Linked DNA regions of Rattus norvegicus. The protein of the gene in region 1 binds, or shares a complex with, the protein of each later gene. Links are inferred from orthologs where the notes say so. Each region holds a gene or a part of one and is shown in the gene's direction. Other genes may lie near its edges.

Region 1 (3,561 bases):
TACGGCATTTATCCATCAGTTCCATGGACAGCTTGTTTGTTCTCATTGCTTCTGAGGAGAATGCTGCAGTAAGCACCTGCACCATGCCTACCTGTCCATCTGTGACAGAAGCGGGTTACTAGGACAGTTTGAACACTGAGCTCCACAGATCGATTCTAGGGATATCTTGAGACACACATTTTATACGAGTTTAAGATACAATCCTAGGGGTTAAGATCTAGACACCTAAAGTATCACCGTGGTGATTTGTGTTGGTGGCCCACCTGCCGCTGCCTCTCCAGCGGGAACTAATTATTCCCTGAATGGGAGTCCTCACTACGCAGCCTGGAGTTCACTGTAAAGCTCCAGCGAGACAGACTGGCTGACACTGAAAGGTGTCACTCTCCATCAGTGACCTCAGTTCTTTGACGGACACTTTCATGATTGTGTTGACCTTGCTCGTTTCTGAAAACAGTTTTCCATGCATCCTCCTTACACCCACGGAAGCACAACTTTGTAGTCAGGGTAGTCAGAAAGACTTTCCTGTGCCTTTTATGCACAGTAGCTGGGGTTGTTTTCCGCCTGAGCTTTCTTGGGGCGAGTGTTGTATTGGGTGGCTGTGCCAAGGAGAACCCGGCAATACCTTTGGTAGCACGGCAGTATCGCTTGTAACTGTGGCTCTCTTGAAGCCAGCCTGTAGCACCGTGTTCTGGTTTAGCATGTGTATTTCCATACTATTGTGAAGGACGGCCCCTTTCTTGATTGCTTTCTTTTAATAGTGTATTTACATTTCCTTGTTAAAACCACAGCATTGGGGGCTGCAAAGATGGCTCAGTGGTTAAGAGCACTGACTGCTCTTCCAGAGGTCCTGAGTTCAAATCCCAGCAACCACACGGTGGCTCACAACCATCTGTAATGGGATCTGGTGCCCTCTTCTGGTGTGTCTGAGGACAGCGATAATGTACTTATATATAATAAATAAATGAATCTTAAAGAAAAAAAAAAACACAGCATTGGTTGGATTTGACAATGTGTAGAATTACCAGGTATAGATTCCTATCAGAAATTCAAAAAAGCTTAATTTTACTTCTACATGGCTTAAAAAATCATTTAGTAAAACTACTAAGCATTTTAAGTTTATTCTATAACCCTGACTGTTGGATGCTGGTGCCCTTCTTGGGCCTTTGAGCCTGGCATGTGGAACAGAAAGCCCCTTGAATGACAGATGTCCCTGCAGCGTGACTCCATGGCATAGTTCTGAAGCCAGGGGTTACAGATGTTCATAACCAACGGCTCTCCTGCTCCTTCTCTATGTAGACACCTTTGCACTTGGCCGTGATCACCAAGCAGGAAGATGTGGTGGAGGACTTGCTGAGGGTTGGGGCTGACCTGAGTCTTCTGGACCGCTGGGGCAACTCTGTCCTGCACCTAGCTGCCAAAGAAGGACATGATAAAATCCTCGGGGTCCTACTCAAGAACAGCAAGGCAGCACTCCTTATCAACCACCCCAACGGGGAAGGTAAGGGCAGTCACGCTGCTGGCTAACCTTCCCCTGCCGGCTGCTGCAGAAGAGCTTGGCATTTGGTAAATGTATCTGACTTTCACCATACTCCCCTCTGCCAGCCGGAGTTCCTCAGATGTCGTGGTTATTTCTGCTGTTTACCCTTAAAGATGACTCGGGAAAGTTACTTAGTAAGTGGGAAAGCAGGCCTGGGCAAACACTAGTCTTACAGAAAGCATCACATATGTGGAGAATGTTTATTTGGTAGCTCATTGTCTCCCGTGAGCACAATAGGAGCTCGTGGCTTCTAAAAACAGAACAGTGGACCTTCTGAGCCTTTGAAGCAAGCCCTGAACAAAAACCGGAAGTGCCGTGACCTGGCGGTGTCCCTCCTCCCCACAGCCCAGCTCTGGCAACCTTGCCCACATCTCTGCCTTTGCTTGGCCTTAGGTCTGAATGCCATTCACATAGCTGTGATGAGCAACAGCCTGTCATGTCTGCAGCTGCTTGTGGCTGCTGGGGCAGAAGTCAACGCTCAGGAGCAGAAGTCTGGGCGCACGGCACTGCACCTGGCCGTGGAGTACGACAACATCTCGTTGGCCGGCTGCCTGCTCCTGGAGGTAAAGGACGCCCTTGTGATCTTGAACTAAACGCCCTCAAGGAACTTTGCAAAGAGTGACGCTAGGACCAGCTGTGCTGTCAGCATTCAGCTCTGCCTGGCATCTGCTGGTGCTCAGAGAGGCCACTTCCTGCGTCCCCACCTCCAGCCCAGCTCCCTAACTGGGGGACTTCTCCAGTGACAGAGCCAGCTCAGTCTAGCAATTGGGCTAACAATATAACCTGAGGATCCATGGAGATATGGAGGTAGACAAATGAGCCTTCTGCTAACTCTCTCTTTGTGGGTGGGTTTAGGGTGACGCCCTCGTGGACAGCACCACCTACGATGGGACGACACCTCTACACATAGCAGCTGGAAGAGGGTCCACCAGGCTGGCAGCTCTTCTCAAAGCAGCAGGTAAGATGCTGCTGGTCACTGATGGACATCAGCAAAGCAAACTCTGCCTGCAAGTGCAATGCTGCCTTTGGAAGCTGCACTTCTGCTCTGGGGAAGCCTGGGTAAATGAAAACCGCATGGCTGGTCACACTTCAGCTGCAGTGAGGCTCAGTGTGGCCTGATAACCTGGGGTTGACACCTGTGTTAGTTTCCTCCCCCTGGTTAGCTGTCTATGTCGGGTTGTTCAGGTTGACTCAGTGACTATAAAATCTTAAGCTCTGTCAGTTTCTGGTCCTATTACAAGTCTCCCAGAAGGAACATATCTAAAGACTTCCTTTTGCAAAAAGAGTCTCCTAGAAGCCAAAGTCGTAGGAAAAGCAAACGGGCCATGTATTCGTATTATTGTGCATGAGGCCTTTCCTGTGTTCCAGGCACCGTGTTGACATCTCACATGCAGCCTCCTTTAGCACACGTAATCCTCAGTAACTCTGAGACAAGACATGTTGCTATTCCTATCTTAGATCCAAGTAGGCAGACTGGAGAGGTGATCAAGCCCCACTCCCAGTGTCTCAGAGAGCTGTGAGTCACAGCGCCACAGCCCAACCTGCAGACTTATCCTCCACACAGTGTTCCTCTCAGTTGGCCTGGGGTTCTTGGGTTCTTCTGGTTAGCTCCCTAGTCCTGTAAAGCACAGGGAGACATTGCAGCTCAGCTCCTGTCTCCAGTGCCTAGTGTGTTTAGTGTTAACACATGGTGGGTGAGATTGGCATTCCGGGCCTGTCCAGACATAACCTGACTTACCTCAGAGGTTGATAAGGGAAGATTTGTGGACGACACACTCTTCACAGATTCAGGCAAAGAGGCCCTGGTTGTGTTGTGCGTGAGTCATTTTGGAAATCACTTACTATGCTGAAGAGAAAAAAAAAATGTTGTCTCTTAGTCAGACATAGTGACGTACACCTGAAATCTCAACTTTTAGAAAGCTGAGGCAGGAGAATTGCCACAAGCTTAGGTTACCTTGGTCTACATAGTTCCAGGCCAAACCAAGATGCCTAGGGAGGTCCTGTCTCAACAGTAAATGCATGAA
Region 2 (4,250 bases), on another chromosome or scaffold:
CTACTTAGGATCAGTCTCACTTTAATCCAGTAATTATACTTGCAGAGATGATGAAGAGGATTTGCTGAGGAAGTCTTAACTTTAACGTGACGTTGTTGTCTGGAAGTTTTTGTTTTTTCCTGGACTTTGAATCTTTTCCCCCAGTGTCCTCACTTTCATACTGTGGGGGAGGCAGTGGAATTACGAAGAGAGGAGAGTTGCTACAAGGCTCAACAAGAAAAAGATCACTCAAATTTCACCAGAAATCTATGCAGAACAGGAAGCCTACTGGGTCTATTCTGACAAACTGTGATCCAAGTTGCTTTAATTTTCCCGAGTTACCTCACACTTGCAGGCTCCTAAGTCGGGATGGGGTGGAAGCAACACTTCTACTTTTGCAGGTAAAACTAGGGGATCACAGGCCCAAATCCCTTTCTTGAGGAGTAGCCACCCACAATGCTGCGGTCCCTGGGAAGCAAGGAAGCTAGTAGAACCAGCAGGTTTCAGATGTGGTCAGTGTTAGGACTATGTTGAGCCTCCTGCAGGATGCTTCAAAGTTACTTTCTTAGCTATGTTTAAGAGGCTAGGGCACTAAACCAGTTGTTCTGCTAGGCATTCACAATAAGCTCCGGCTTTATTCTCTACAAGTTAACAAGTTAACTCCAACAGCAAGAACTCAACAGTTTCTGTTGCATGGAAGCTACAACTTCTACAAAGATTAACACCTTGCATTACTTGGGGGAAAATGTGGTTCCCATATGGAGCTAGACTTTGCCCCTCCCCCGCTGCCCCTCCCCCGGGCGAGATTATTGACCCCTCGGAATTAATCTAGGGGTTCTCCAGGCGCTTGGATTTTGTTGTTGTTGTTATTGGTTTTGTTTGTTTGAATGCCAAAGTGTCTACAGCTTCGAGGGGGGATGGTGAAGGGCAGCCAAATGTCCATGCACTGCAAAGAGCCTGAAACACAGACGACCCGGAATCACTCATACGTCCGTCGTCGCAGAAATTTAGGAGAAGCGAATCCCTGCACCCAGCCAGCCATTTCCACTCTTGGGTTTTCAAAAGATCAAGAACCGGAAAGGACCTGCAAATTGGCAAATCTCTAAGAGGAACAGCCTAGCAGGTTTGCGTCCTTGGAATCTCAGCAGCTTGGGACCCCAAACCAAAGTCGTCGGTGGGAAACCCCAGGGAAAGAAGGGCTCTTGTAGAACGCTGGGGTTACTGAGTGCAGGCTGCAGGGAAGTACCTAGAGGGAGGGGGCCTGGTCGGGAGGACTTTCCAGCCACTCAGGGCTCATCAAAAAGTTCCCTGTACATGACCCCAGTGGCTCATCGTAGGGAGTTTCTCTGATGAACCCCGGCCCTGGGTTTAGGCTTCTCAGTCGAGGACGAGCCAGTTCTTTTTCTAGTCTGACTGGCTTGGAAATTCCCCGCGCCTGACCCCGCCCCTGAGAAATCCCCTGCCAGCGTTTATAGGGCGCCGAGGCGGCGCTGCCGAGCCCACAACAGTCTGAACTCGCCACCCAACTGCCAGCAGCCTGCACCCTGCACCCGCTCAGCTCCGCACAGCCATGTTTCAGCCAGCTGGGCACGGCCAGGACTGGGCCATGGAGGGCCCGCGGGACGGCCTCAAGAAGGAGCGGTTGGTGGACGACCGCCACGACAGCGGCTTGGACTCCATGAAGGACGAGGATTACGAGCAGATGGTGAAGGAGCTGCGGGAGATCCGCCTGCAGCCGCAGGAGGCGCCTCTGGCTGCCGAGCCCTGGAAGCAACAGCTCACGGAGGACGGAGACTCGTAAGTGGCGGCGGGCTCGGGCATGGGCACGGGCGGGGTCGCGCGGGGCCTGCACCGCGCTCGGGGCTCTGCACGGCGGGGCTGCGGGGCTACGGGGCTACAGAGCTGCGGGCGCCGGGCCGCCTGCCTCCCCATCCCCCCACCCCATTTCCCGGGACCCGGAGTAGCCGAGCGCAGGCCGGGGGCGGGGCGGCAACGAGGACGCAAAGTCCCCGCCTGGCAGAGTTTCCGCGCAGCCGCCGGGCGCTGCGCGGCCGCGAGGGGAAGTACAGGGCGTTCCGGGCGGCGGAGGGCGGGCCGGTCTGGCCGGCGCCCGCCCGGAGGGGGTGGGGCACGGAAAGTCCCTGGGCGGCTGCCAGGAACACTCAGCTCATAATAACCTCGCGGAAAACACCGCGGCCGCGGCCTCCAGAAACCCCGGCCTTGCGCAATCCCCCGCAGCCCGCGCCTCTCGGGGGCCCCACGCAGTGCGCTCACCACCCCTGGGGGGTTTCCCTGTCATCCCGCAGGTTCCTGCACTTGGCAATCATCCATGAAGAGAAGACACTGACCATGGAAGTGATTGGTCAGGTGAAGGGAGACCTGGCCTTCCTCAACTTCCAGAACAACCTGCAGCAGGTGCGGGCTTGCCCAGCTGTGCCCTCTTTGACCCCGTGGTGGAGTTAGATGAAGCTCAGTCGCCCCCAAAGCGTTTCTAAATTAACAGTCACGGTCCTTATCTGCCCTGGCCTTTTACATTCAAATTAGCCAAAGTCTTAGAGCAAGAAGGAAAATCCCAAGGGTTGGTTGAGGTCTTTATGACCCACGTAGGGCCTCCTGTTTGCCTGATCTCCTGTAGACAAATGGGAGGAGGGGATTCTGTAATAGGAGGTGTCTGGGGTTCAGGAAACTCAAGACTATGGGTTTGCTCCATGGCTTAGGCTCTTTCTGTTTCCTCTTCCATTCGTAGACTCCACTCCACTTGGCTGTGATCACCAACCAGCCAGGAATTGCTGAGGCACTTCTGAAAGCTGGCTGTGATCCTGAGCTCCGAGACTTTCGAGGAAATACCCCTCTCCATCTTGCCTGTGAGCAGGGCTGCCTGGCCAGTGTAGCAGTCTTGACTCAGACCTGTACGCCCCAGCATCTCCACTCCGTCCTGCAGGCCACCAACTACAACGGTAGGTCTGCCAGTCCATCCAGGGACGCAGAGAAGGGAGAGACGGGTCCCCTTGAGTCTAGCCTGGAGCTAAAACGCCTCAACGTATAAGAAGTTCAGGCAGTGTGGACTTTTAAAAAGTCTTCTCCATGATTCCTACATGACGTTCACTGAGAACCCAGACTTTTGAGTTCTTCAAAATTGAGGTTGTTTGTGGTTGTCCCCAAGAAAGGAGACGTGACTTGTGTGAGGATTGAAACAAGTGGTTACAGTTCCGTCTTATATCCTGCAGGCCACACGTGTCTACACTTAGCCTCTATCCATGGCTACCTGGGCATCGTGGAGCACTTGGTGACTTTGGGTGCTGATGTCAACGCTCAGGTGAGTACTTCCCCTTCCTCCTAAACTCTGCTGGGCTGGCTCTTACTGTGAGCAGATTTCCAGATAAACACTTCTGATTGCCTTTGGTTTCAGGAGCCCTGTAATGGCCGGACAGCCCTCCACCTTGCAGTGGACCTGCAGAATCCTGACCTGGTCTCGCTCCTGTTGAAGTGTGGGGCTGATGTCAACAGAGTAACCTACCAGGGCTACTCCCCCTACCAGCTTACGTGGGGCCGCCCAAGTACCCGGATACAGCAGCAGCTGGGCCAGCTGACCCTGGAAAATCTTCAGACGCTGCCCGAGAGTGAGGATGAGGAGAGCTATGACACGGAGTCAGAATTCACGGAAGATGAGGTGCGTGTTCATTACTGCCAGAGTGGTCCATTCTCCCTCACCACACCTAGGTCTGTTCTAGAGCTGTTCTGTATCATAGGGACCTGAGTTATTCAACTTCTCAGTCTCAGCTTGCAAAGCCAGGATCCCAAGAACGTGTCTCTGGTTTGCTTTAATAGCTTACCCTTGTGGGTTTCGGAATGGGGCAGTAAGAGGGAGTTGTGGGAATTGAACCCAGGCTTTAACACGTGGTAATAGGCACATGTTCTACCATTGAGCTATGTCCCCTGCAATAGCTTAGACTTTTGAAAGGAGAGAATTGGTGAAGGGAACTCCTGCAGCCCGGCGCCTGCGTTCTGTTTAGGCTGAGGAGGAGAGAGTCCAGGAATGGGAGTTATTTGTAGAAGCAGCTCTCCCGCCATCCCAATGGCTTGGCGAAGTTCTAGGAATCTAATGTGCCTTTTTCCCTCTCTTGTTCCAGTTGCCCTACGATGACTGTGTGTTTGGAGGCCAGCGTCTGACGTTATAAGAGGAAAGTGGCCAAAGGAACGTGGACTTGTATATTTGTACAAATAGAGTTTTATTTTTCTAAAAAAAAAAAAGAAAAAGAAAAAAAAATAAG
Region 3 (4,160 bases), on another chromosome or scaffold:
AACCAAGGAAGCCAGTGGGTAGGGTAGGGTGGCTGGAAAACAATTTCAGCATCTCCAGTACCTCATCTCCGGATGCAGATTTAGCTAGGTTAGCTCTGCTCCACAAACTCAGGCTAGGCAAGTTCCTCCCAGCATGCTGGCTCTGGCCAGTCTCCACCTCAGCTTCTTCAGCAGAGGGGCACTCCAGGCTGCACAAAGACACCTTAACCGTGTCTTAGCTTCCACCACGCTGCCCCGTCCTCCTGCACACCACCCCAGTAATCATTGACAAACACGCTTCCTGGGGTCTCCCAGGCAGAAAATTCTCAATGCTTATATACTGTCATTGTAAATACAAGGCAGGCAAATTCAGCAAGGCCCCACACGGCACCACGCAAGCTTAATTAGCGCTCACGATGACTATAATTACAATAATTTATTGAGTGCTTCCTTATGGGCCAAGCGCTGTCCTGGTCCATTTTCAAGCTCTTTAAATCCTTCAAGACAACGCTGGGAGCTGGACGATCCGATCTCTATCATGCCTGCATATGCATGGGGCACAAAACAGGGGCTCTAAACGGCTCTGTGCCTCTCCGGTAGCAGGTTCACTTGTTAAAGTTAAGAAATATGAAGGAGAGGCGAAAGAAGTGGCAAAGAACTACCCAGAAAGTTAGCGAGGGCGCTCACTGAGATACTTCCTGGTCATCGTTACTCAGCACTTTGAGGCAAACCGCAGCATGGCCGCCCTAGTCGAAAGATACACCTCTGCCTGGGCAGTCCTAGGGTTGTCCCCAGCCCCAGTCTGGAAGTATCTGACTTAGATTTGTTTGGGGCATGGTCAACGTGATTCCAGAGGGGCTCTACTGTGTGAAAGGGAGCCGCGATCTACCTCCGGGCACCGTGCGCAGTGAAAGTGTCCTTGGGGCAGCTGGACACACGGTTTCCAAGGGGTGAGAGCAGGACAGCGTCTGGAGCCTGAAGAGCCCGAAGCTGCTTCAGGCGCCTGCGCTAGCTCCGCCCCTGGAAACCAAGGTTCTGGTTCCGCGGCTTAGAGCACGGCAGCCAGGAGCGAGGCCAGCACTAGGACAGTCCCTGAGCTGCTCAAGTGGCCTGTTCTGGCCCCGCCCCTTGGAAACCGCCCCACCTTTTGGGGGCGTGGTCTGGGCGCGGCCTGCCGGGGCGCCTTGGCGGGCGCGGGAGGCGAGGGAGCTCGTCCCCGCCGCGCGTGCCCGTCCGCCCCGCCCCGCCGCGCTCCGCCCTGTCTCTATAAAGAGAAGGCGGGCGCCGCACTCGGCTGCAAGCTCCGTTGGGTGCCTAGGATCCATTTCCATCGGGTTCTGCCGAAACTCGTGTGGCTCCCTCCCCGCAACAGCCAAAATGGTGAAGCTGATCGAGAGCAAGGTATGCGTGCCCCGGCCCCGCGCTCACCCCGCGGTGCTCAGTAGACACCCTCGGTATCCCTGCCGGCTGAGCGGCCCAGGGCCTGTGTGCGCTCTGGGCTGTGGAGCACGCCCTGGGGGAGGGGACAGAGAGACCCTGGAACGCCTGGTACCGAAGGTGCACGCTTAGGCAGCACCTGAGCTGCACTCCCTACTGCCACCCTAAATCTGGCGGAGGTGAAGTGATGGACGGGGGTCCTCCAGTGACAGCTCGCCCTATGCCCCAACTGAATCAGGATTCGGGTCTGGGAGAAGATGGAGAGTCGCCACTCCTCGCGTACGGGGTGCTATACACCGCGCGGGTGTGCTGTACCTCAGGGCTCGGCCATAGTTTTCCTCTATCAGTGGCCCGCCGCCTAGAGGACGCTGGCCGGGTCGGTGTATGGGTGTGGGTCCCGGGTCCCAGTTAGAAACCATCGGACGGGGTACCTAGGTGACTGCTAGGGAAAAAGGTCCAGGCCGCGCCCGAGAGACTCCTCCTCCTGCGGCGCAAGGCGTGTTTCCGGCAGCTCTGGCTTTGGAATGACTCAGTCCCCTATGGCTGGGCCCAGGGGCCTCGCAGCCTTAAGAATTCGGTGATTGACCCTCCCGTAAGCTTTGCTGGAACCAGGGCTCTTCTTCCCCTGGCAGTAGTCCAGTACAAAGTCCTGGTGGTTCTGCCCTTTGGGAAAAGAAAAAAAATACCCAAGGGAAAAACTGTTACCATATTCGAAAGTTACTGAGAACCAAAATATCCTCCAGATTGGGAAACCCAGAGCCTGTTACACTGTAACTACTCGGGCAGTATTTATTAAATGGAAAGTGAAAGGGGATTGGGGGTGGGAATTGATGTGTGGAAGACTGTCTCACAAGTTCAACCTTAAACTAGGAAGTCCGTGGAAGGCAAGTCAGCGCCCTCCAGTTTTGAGCATCTGGTTGGGTCTCAGTACAGAAGTTTGCTCAGAAGCCACCCACTACCAGTTGTATTAGTCCCAGCAGCCAGTTGGGTCCTTATCTGTTTAAACTGCCCTACTTATGAAACCTTTGCCATTCCAGTAGGAGAGGTGTGTGTACATTGGTGACAGGAAACCAGTTATTCATAAAAAGCTTGGGCTCCAAAAAGCTATTACCAAGACTTTAAGAGTTGCCCCAGAGTCAGAAGTTAACTGAATACACATGAATTTCATCTGATGGGCTTAGGTTGATTGATTTAGCCATGCAGAATAGCCGTGTTTCTGAGGACTGTGTGGGTAGTTAAAGGCCCTTGGGGTCTGTCACCACACAGGAGTGGAATAATAGGCTATGATATAATGGAGCAGAAATCAGCAGATGTTTGCCTTGTTTATTTATTTTTATGAATAAAACTATTTGTTGAACTACACACAAGGCACTTTGCTGAGTGCTTCACAGAACACATGTTAGACCAGGGTGTTGGCCATGTCTCTAGTCACTAGCACTCAAGAGACTGGACTGTCTCAAAAAAAGCAAAGAACACTTTGTATTGTCCTTTGGGCTGATTATGGTTTTGTTGTTGTTGGGGACTTTCTGTTTTGGTTCACATTCACGTATGGGGTGGGGCATCCATTTTCGGAGGTCAGAGGACAATTTGAGAGGGTTGACTCGCTTCTACCTTGTGGGTCATGGGTATTGAACTCGGTTCCTTGGTCGTGGTGGCAAGCACTTTAATCTGCTGAGCCATCTTGCCAGCCCCTGGCTGGGTATATTTGAGACAAGAGAGAGAGAGTAGCATCTGCTCCAGTCTACTCCAGGTGTGTTTTGTCTCCAGGTTATTGGTGTAAGTGACAAAGACACTTGCCAACTGTGGTTATTGGTTTCTGGAGCTAGAAATTGTGACTTGCAATTTTGAATGTTGTATGAATAGTCTTCAAGCCAATACTCCAGGCAAGCTTACACATCTGCAAAAGAAAACTTGTTGGTGAAGTTCGCACATCCCTGCCTCTGTACTTCGTGTTCCCTGAAGCCAAAGATTAGGATTGTGAGCCACTTTTTCAGTATTTTGAGTAGTTTTGCCTGGTTTTGACTCATAGCTTTTGGGGGGACCCCTTGAGAGTGTTTGAAATGCAGCTTGTCCTGTTTTTCATGTAATCTCACCAAGTTCTTACTATTGAGGATCAGCCATGGTCCAGGTGTCATCAGAGCAGCCTGCCACACCATTTTGCCCTGTGTCTTACAATAAAGAATAGGCAGTGTGGCCTCTGATGGCTACGTTAAGGGAGGTTTTGTATGACATTCATCTGCAACAACCAGTGGTGGTTTGAACTGTGGCTTCCATTGCTCTCCACTGCATTCCCACCTCCTGACCCTAACACTTGGGTGCTGTTCATACCCAGATGTGGACCAACAGATGGCGGGGGAGGGGAGGGCGGTCTGACTAGACAGCTCCTAAGGTTGTCATAGCCATTCTGTAGGGTCCTCAGAAATGACATGGGATTATTTTTACTGAAAAAAAAATGTGAGATAGAAATTAAAAACTGTACCTAGGGCCAAAGAGATAGCTCAGCAGATAAGAGGACTGGGTGTTCTTTCATAAGATAAGGGTGGGGTTCAATTCCCAACACCCTCGTGGTGGCTTCTAACCATCTGTAACTCCAGTTCCAAAGCATCTAATAATGCCCTCTTCTGGCCTCTGAAGGCACCAGACACACAAGTCAGGTACATAATTACATGCAGACAAAAACATTGATGTTCATAAATAAATAAAATGAATAAATAAATAGAAATTAAAATAAGTATACATGAAAA
Region 4 (3,634 bases), about 71 Mb from region 1:
TCTCTATGTGCATGAAATCTCAGTATAAGCTCATCAGTGAAATGACCCCTAAAGACGATAACCCAGAAATTTTATAGTACAGAGATTGCATTATGTGTTTCAAAGTTACTGTAACTTCTAGCAACACATTAATTGCTATTGTTCACTTCATAAAATTTCTTGCAGGACTGGAGAAAATTGAACAACTTCAGAATCATGAAAATGAGGACATCTACAAATTGGCCTATGAGATCATTGACCAGTTCTTCTCTTCAGATGATGTACTTAATATGTTTATCATTTTCTTAGTTTTATATGCTAAGCAAATCTGAATGAAAGAATATAGTAAACTAGGATGTATATATAAAAATTTTTTCAATAGAAGTCTTAATAGGTATGTGACAATAATATTACTGTCTTTGAAAACAAATTTTAGTATTTTTAAATCTGGTTAGGACATTAACTCAAGAACAAAACAATAAGAATTTTTGTTGCACTGGATAAGCTGATTTCTTTCCAGTTCTCACGCATTTAAATTGGTAATAGTATGTCTATAAACGAAACAGAAAATAGTGATACCAAGCATAATGGCACTCAACTATAATTCCACCACTTCAGAGCTAATGCAGAAGAAAGACTAGGAAATGAATTGAAGGGTGTTCTTGGCTATGTAGTGATTTCAAGGCCAGCCTGGACTATGTGAAACTCTGCCTCAAAAAAGAAATCAAAAGTCAAGCAAACAAAACTAGTAGTACTAGTATAACCTACAGTAACCCCTTAATCCATATGTTCAAGTGTAATTTTGTTGGTGGTTAAAATCAAATAAGATGACGAAACAAGATGAGCACAGTAAATCATGAAAATGAACGGTATATACAATATGATGTGGAATGTTACAAAGTTACATTTATTCATAGTACCACCAAATAACAATTGTAAGTAAAGGATTGTTTATTTGGTTGGGTTTTATTAAAAAATGTTTTGCTGTATATGCCTGACTGTCCTTTGAACTTGGAGCAGTCTTCCTATCTAGCCTTCCAAGTGCTCCTTTTGGGTGTAAGGCACACACCACTACACTCTATATGAATTATGTTTTCAACTTTTCAAGATACAAGTTTCAGGGCTGGAGAAATGCACTGGGAGGAAGATGTTAAGAGGCCCGGCTTCTCTTCCAGAGAACCCAGGGTCAATTACCAGCTCCTACTTGGTGGCTCACAACCATCTGTAGCTCTAATTCCAGGGAATCCAAAGCCGCCTTCTTGCTTTCCTGAGTACCAGCTACCCCTGTGATTCACAGACATACATGCAGGCAAAATGCCCATGTAAATAACCAAAATTTTTAAGAACTCTAGTTTCATAACACATTTCCACATTACTAAAAAGAATAAAGCATTAGAAAAAGAAAATCATAGGCTATTAGACCATAGGACTAACAAGGGGACTCATAGAGTAAAGGCTGACAATCTAAATTCAGTACCCAGAACCATCCTATGTGATGGAAGGAGAGCACCCCAACTCTCCCAAGTTGTCCCCTGACCTCCACATGTATCCCATGTGGCATATGCCCCCACATGATAGATGGTGGGTGGGTGGGTGGGTGGATGGATGGATGGATGGATGGATGGATGGATGGATGGATGGATGCAACCAAGCAAATAGAGAAAACCAGCCTGGAGAGTTCACTCGGCAGTTAAGAGCACTTACTACTCTTGTGGTGGACCCACTGGTTTCTAAAACCCAAACAAATAGAAAAAGGATGTCGACACAAATCTTATTTAAATATGCAGTTAAATACATCATAAATAAGATCCAGACAAAACATACTCTCAAGGAAAGATGGTCTTAATCATGTCCCCTTTTGTTTGTTTTGTTTTTGTTTTTCAAGACTGGGTTTCTTTGTATAACAGTTCTCGCTGTCCTGTAACTTGTGCTTGTAGACCAGGCTGTCCTCCAATTCACAGAGATCCACTTGCCACTGCCTCCCAAATACTGGGATTAAAGGCCTGTGCCACCACCACCCAAATATTCAATTTGGAAGTCCTAAGTTGTAGTTAGGAATAGCAGAGTTACACAGTTCTAAAAGTATAAAGAGTGCATTTACTCCTGCTAATACATGTTTGTTTGTTTGAAGATTCGGGTTGTGCTTTTTGAGGCAGGTTCTTATATTGTGTATCACTGGATGACCTAGAACTCCCCGTGTAGATGAAACTCACAGGTAGTTCTTCGCTTTCCCTTCCCAAGTGCCGAGGTCAGTGCATGTGCCACCACGCCTCCCAAGTATAAGAGAGTATACTTCCTTACACTGTCTTAGATATAAGAGGAGTTACAGTGAGTACCAGTATTTACCCTCGCATTTAGAGTCTGAGGCCGGCTCCAGTGTTCTATTTCATAAGGTGTCCATCATGTATATTCTTGTTTCTTCACAGCCCTTAAGGAAGGAGTTTACAGGTGTTAGGATGGTAGTACATTCTTGGCAGACACTCATCACTTAGATGTGGTCTATCTTTTTAGAGAATAATGGGACTATTACTGTGATTCAGGTTTTTTATACTTTAAGACTAATCATCTCATTGTTTTTTCCTCTTTTCCTTCAGATTGATGAAGATCCTAGCCTTGTTCCAGAGTCAGTTCAAGGTGGAACATTTGGTTTCAATTCATCTACCAATGTACCAACAGAGGGGTTCCAGTTTTAGAGAGATGTTGTGGAAGTTAGGTACAATGCAGCACCGAGAAATATATATATATATACACATATATATAAAAAGGTTTGATCCATCAAGCTTGGCTCATGGGATCTGCTGCTGCATTAAATCGGGAGAGAAAATGTGAAGATTTCATTTGGAATCACAGAAAATGCCCAAATGAGTCAAGGTGGCGAGTGGGTGCGAGTGAGAATGAGTGGCAATGTAAGGAAAGCGTGACACAAATGCTTATTTAGGTTGAGAGTAAAGGGCTACAGGTCACTTCGGTGCCTGAGACGGAGCATTGACTTACTCTATCAATTGAGAAGTGAAATGCCATCATCATCAAGCCTTGTAAGCATAAAAGCGATGCCCATATAAGTCAAGGAAAATGAGCCCAGGCCTCGCTGTGAAGCAGTGTATGAATGAACAGTGTTGAATGAATGTCTGGCTCCGTGGTAGAGAAAGAGCCAGGTTCATCTTTCAAATCTAGGGCTCTTCACGCATGAAGCAGACTCCTAGTCCTGGAGTGACTGTGTAAGAGAGTATGGTTGTGGTGCTGTATGTGGACGCATGCAAGCTTGATTTGCCTTCAGGGGGCTGATAACAAACCTAGTAGATCATCAAAGTGAGATCCCAAGTGTTAATGTACACTGGACATGAGAACAAAGACCGGTTTAGCAGCAGACACTGGTTTACTCTGCAGCCTGTGTTGTCTATTCTCCCTCTACCTTACCCCCACCCCACCCCACCCCACCCCACCCGACCCCAACCCTTTTTTTATTTAGTTTTTATTTACTTTACCTAGTATGGCTTTTTTAGTTGCTTCTCAAGTCAGAAAACTTCAGGAAGGTTTCCCTGTGCATTTGCACCAGATGAGTGTTTGATGCTATGAAAAGCTTTCCATATCATCAAAACTAATTTGTGTAGATTTTTGCATGAAAAAAAATCATAAATTTCCCTCACAATAGACT

What was found.
Region 2: the proteins of Nfkb1 (region 1) and Nfkbia are in contact, whole or in part, in a crystal structure (PDB 1NFI), measured with the Homo sapiens proteins. The link is inferred for Rattus norvegicus from reciprocal best matches to the Homo sapiens genes NFKB1 and NFKBIA. Residues at the interface, in NP_001158884.1 of Homo sapiens: Lys251, Ile252, Val253, Arg254, Met255, Asp256, Arg257, Thr258, Ala259, Pro326, Lys345, Leu348, Tyr350, Ile353; in NP_065390.1 of Homo sapiens: Asn108, Asn109, Leu110, Gln111, Arg140, Tyr181, Pro214, Cys215, Asn216, Arg218, Tyr248, Gln249.
Region 3: the proteins of Nfkb1 (region 1) and Txn1 are in contact, whole or in part, in an NMR structure (PDB 1MDI), measured with the Homo sapiens proteins. The link is inferred for Rattus norvegicus from reciprocal best matches to the Homo sapiens genes NFKB1 and TXN. Residues at the interface, in NP_001158884.1 of Homo sapiens: Arg56, Phe57, Arg58, Tyr59, Val60, Cys61, Glu62, Gly63, Pro64; in NP_003320.2 of Homo sapiens: Thr30, Trp31, Cys32, Pro34, Met37, Ile38, Asp58, Val59, Asp60, Asp61, Gln63, Ala66, Ser67, Val71, Lys72, Pro75, Ser90, Gly91, Ala92.
Region 4: the proteins of Nfkb1 (region 1) and Kpna4 are in contact, whole or in part, in a crystal structure (PDB 7LFC), measured with the Homo sapiens proteins. The link is inferred for Rattus norvegicus from reciprocal best matches to the Homo sapiens genes NFKB1 and KPNA4. Residues at the interface, in NP_001158884.1 of Homo sapiens: Glu357, Glu358, Val359, Gln360, Arg361, Lys362, Arg363, Gln364, Lys365, Leu366, Met367; in NP_002259.1 of Homo sapiens: Arg96, Lys97, Leu99, Ser100, Ser101, Asp102, Arg103, Pro105, Phe133, Trp137, Thr140, Asn141, Ala143, Ser144, Gly145, Thr146, Ser147, Thr150, Gln176, Trp179, Gly182, Asn183, Gly186, Asp187, Asn219, Trp222, Val225, Asn226, Arg229, His230.

The regions. Positions count from the first base shown.
Region 1 is NC_086020.1:226,697,426-226,700,986, reverse strand, and holds part of Nfkb1 (nuclear factor NF-kappa-B p105 subunit), read left to right. Parts: intron 1-1,296; coding exon 1,297-1,498; intron 1,499-1,930; coding exon 1,931-2,100; intron 2,101-2,392; coding exon 2,393-2,495; intron 2,496-3,561.
Region 2 is NC_086024.1:78,594,253-78,598,502, reverse strand, and holds the start of Nfkbia (NF-kappa-B inhibitor alpha), read left to right. Parts: upstream 1-1,430; 5' UTR 1,431-1,549; coding exon 1,550-1,776; intron 1,777-2,285; coding exon 2,286-2,394; intron 2,395-2,725; coding exon 2,726-2,936; intron 2,937-3,206; coding exon 3,207-3,295; intron 3,296-3,388; coding exon 3,389-3,649; coding exon of another isoform or gene 3,650-3,736; exon of another isoform or gene 3,737-4,109; coding exon 4,110-4,157; 3' UTR 4,158-4,250. UniProt on the Homo sapiens protein: Inhibits the activity of dimeric NF-kappa-B/REL complexes by trapping REL (RELA/p65 and NFKB1/p50) dimers in the cytoplasm by masking their nuclear localization signals.
Region 3 is NC_086023.1:77,516,882-77,521,041, reverse strand, and holds the start of Txn1 (thioredoxin), read left to right. Parts: upstream 1-1,356; coding exon 1,357-1,380; intron 1,381-4,160. UniProt on the Homo sapiens protein: Participates in various redox reactions through the reversible oxidation of its active center dithiol to a disulfide and catalyzes dithiol-disulfide exchange reactions.
Region 4 is NC_086020.1:155,635,164-155,638,797, reverse strand, and holds the end of Kpna4 (importin subunit alpha-3), read left to right. Parts: intron 1-165; coding exon 166-260; intron 261-2,573; coding exon 2,574-2,672; 3' UTR 2,673-3,119; downstream 3,120-3,634. UniProt on the Homo sapiens protein: Functions in nuclear protein import as an adapter protein for nuclear receptor KPNB1. Binds specifically and directly to substrates containing either a simple or bipartite NLS motif.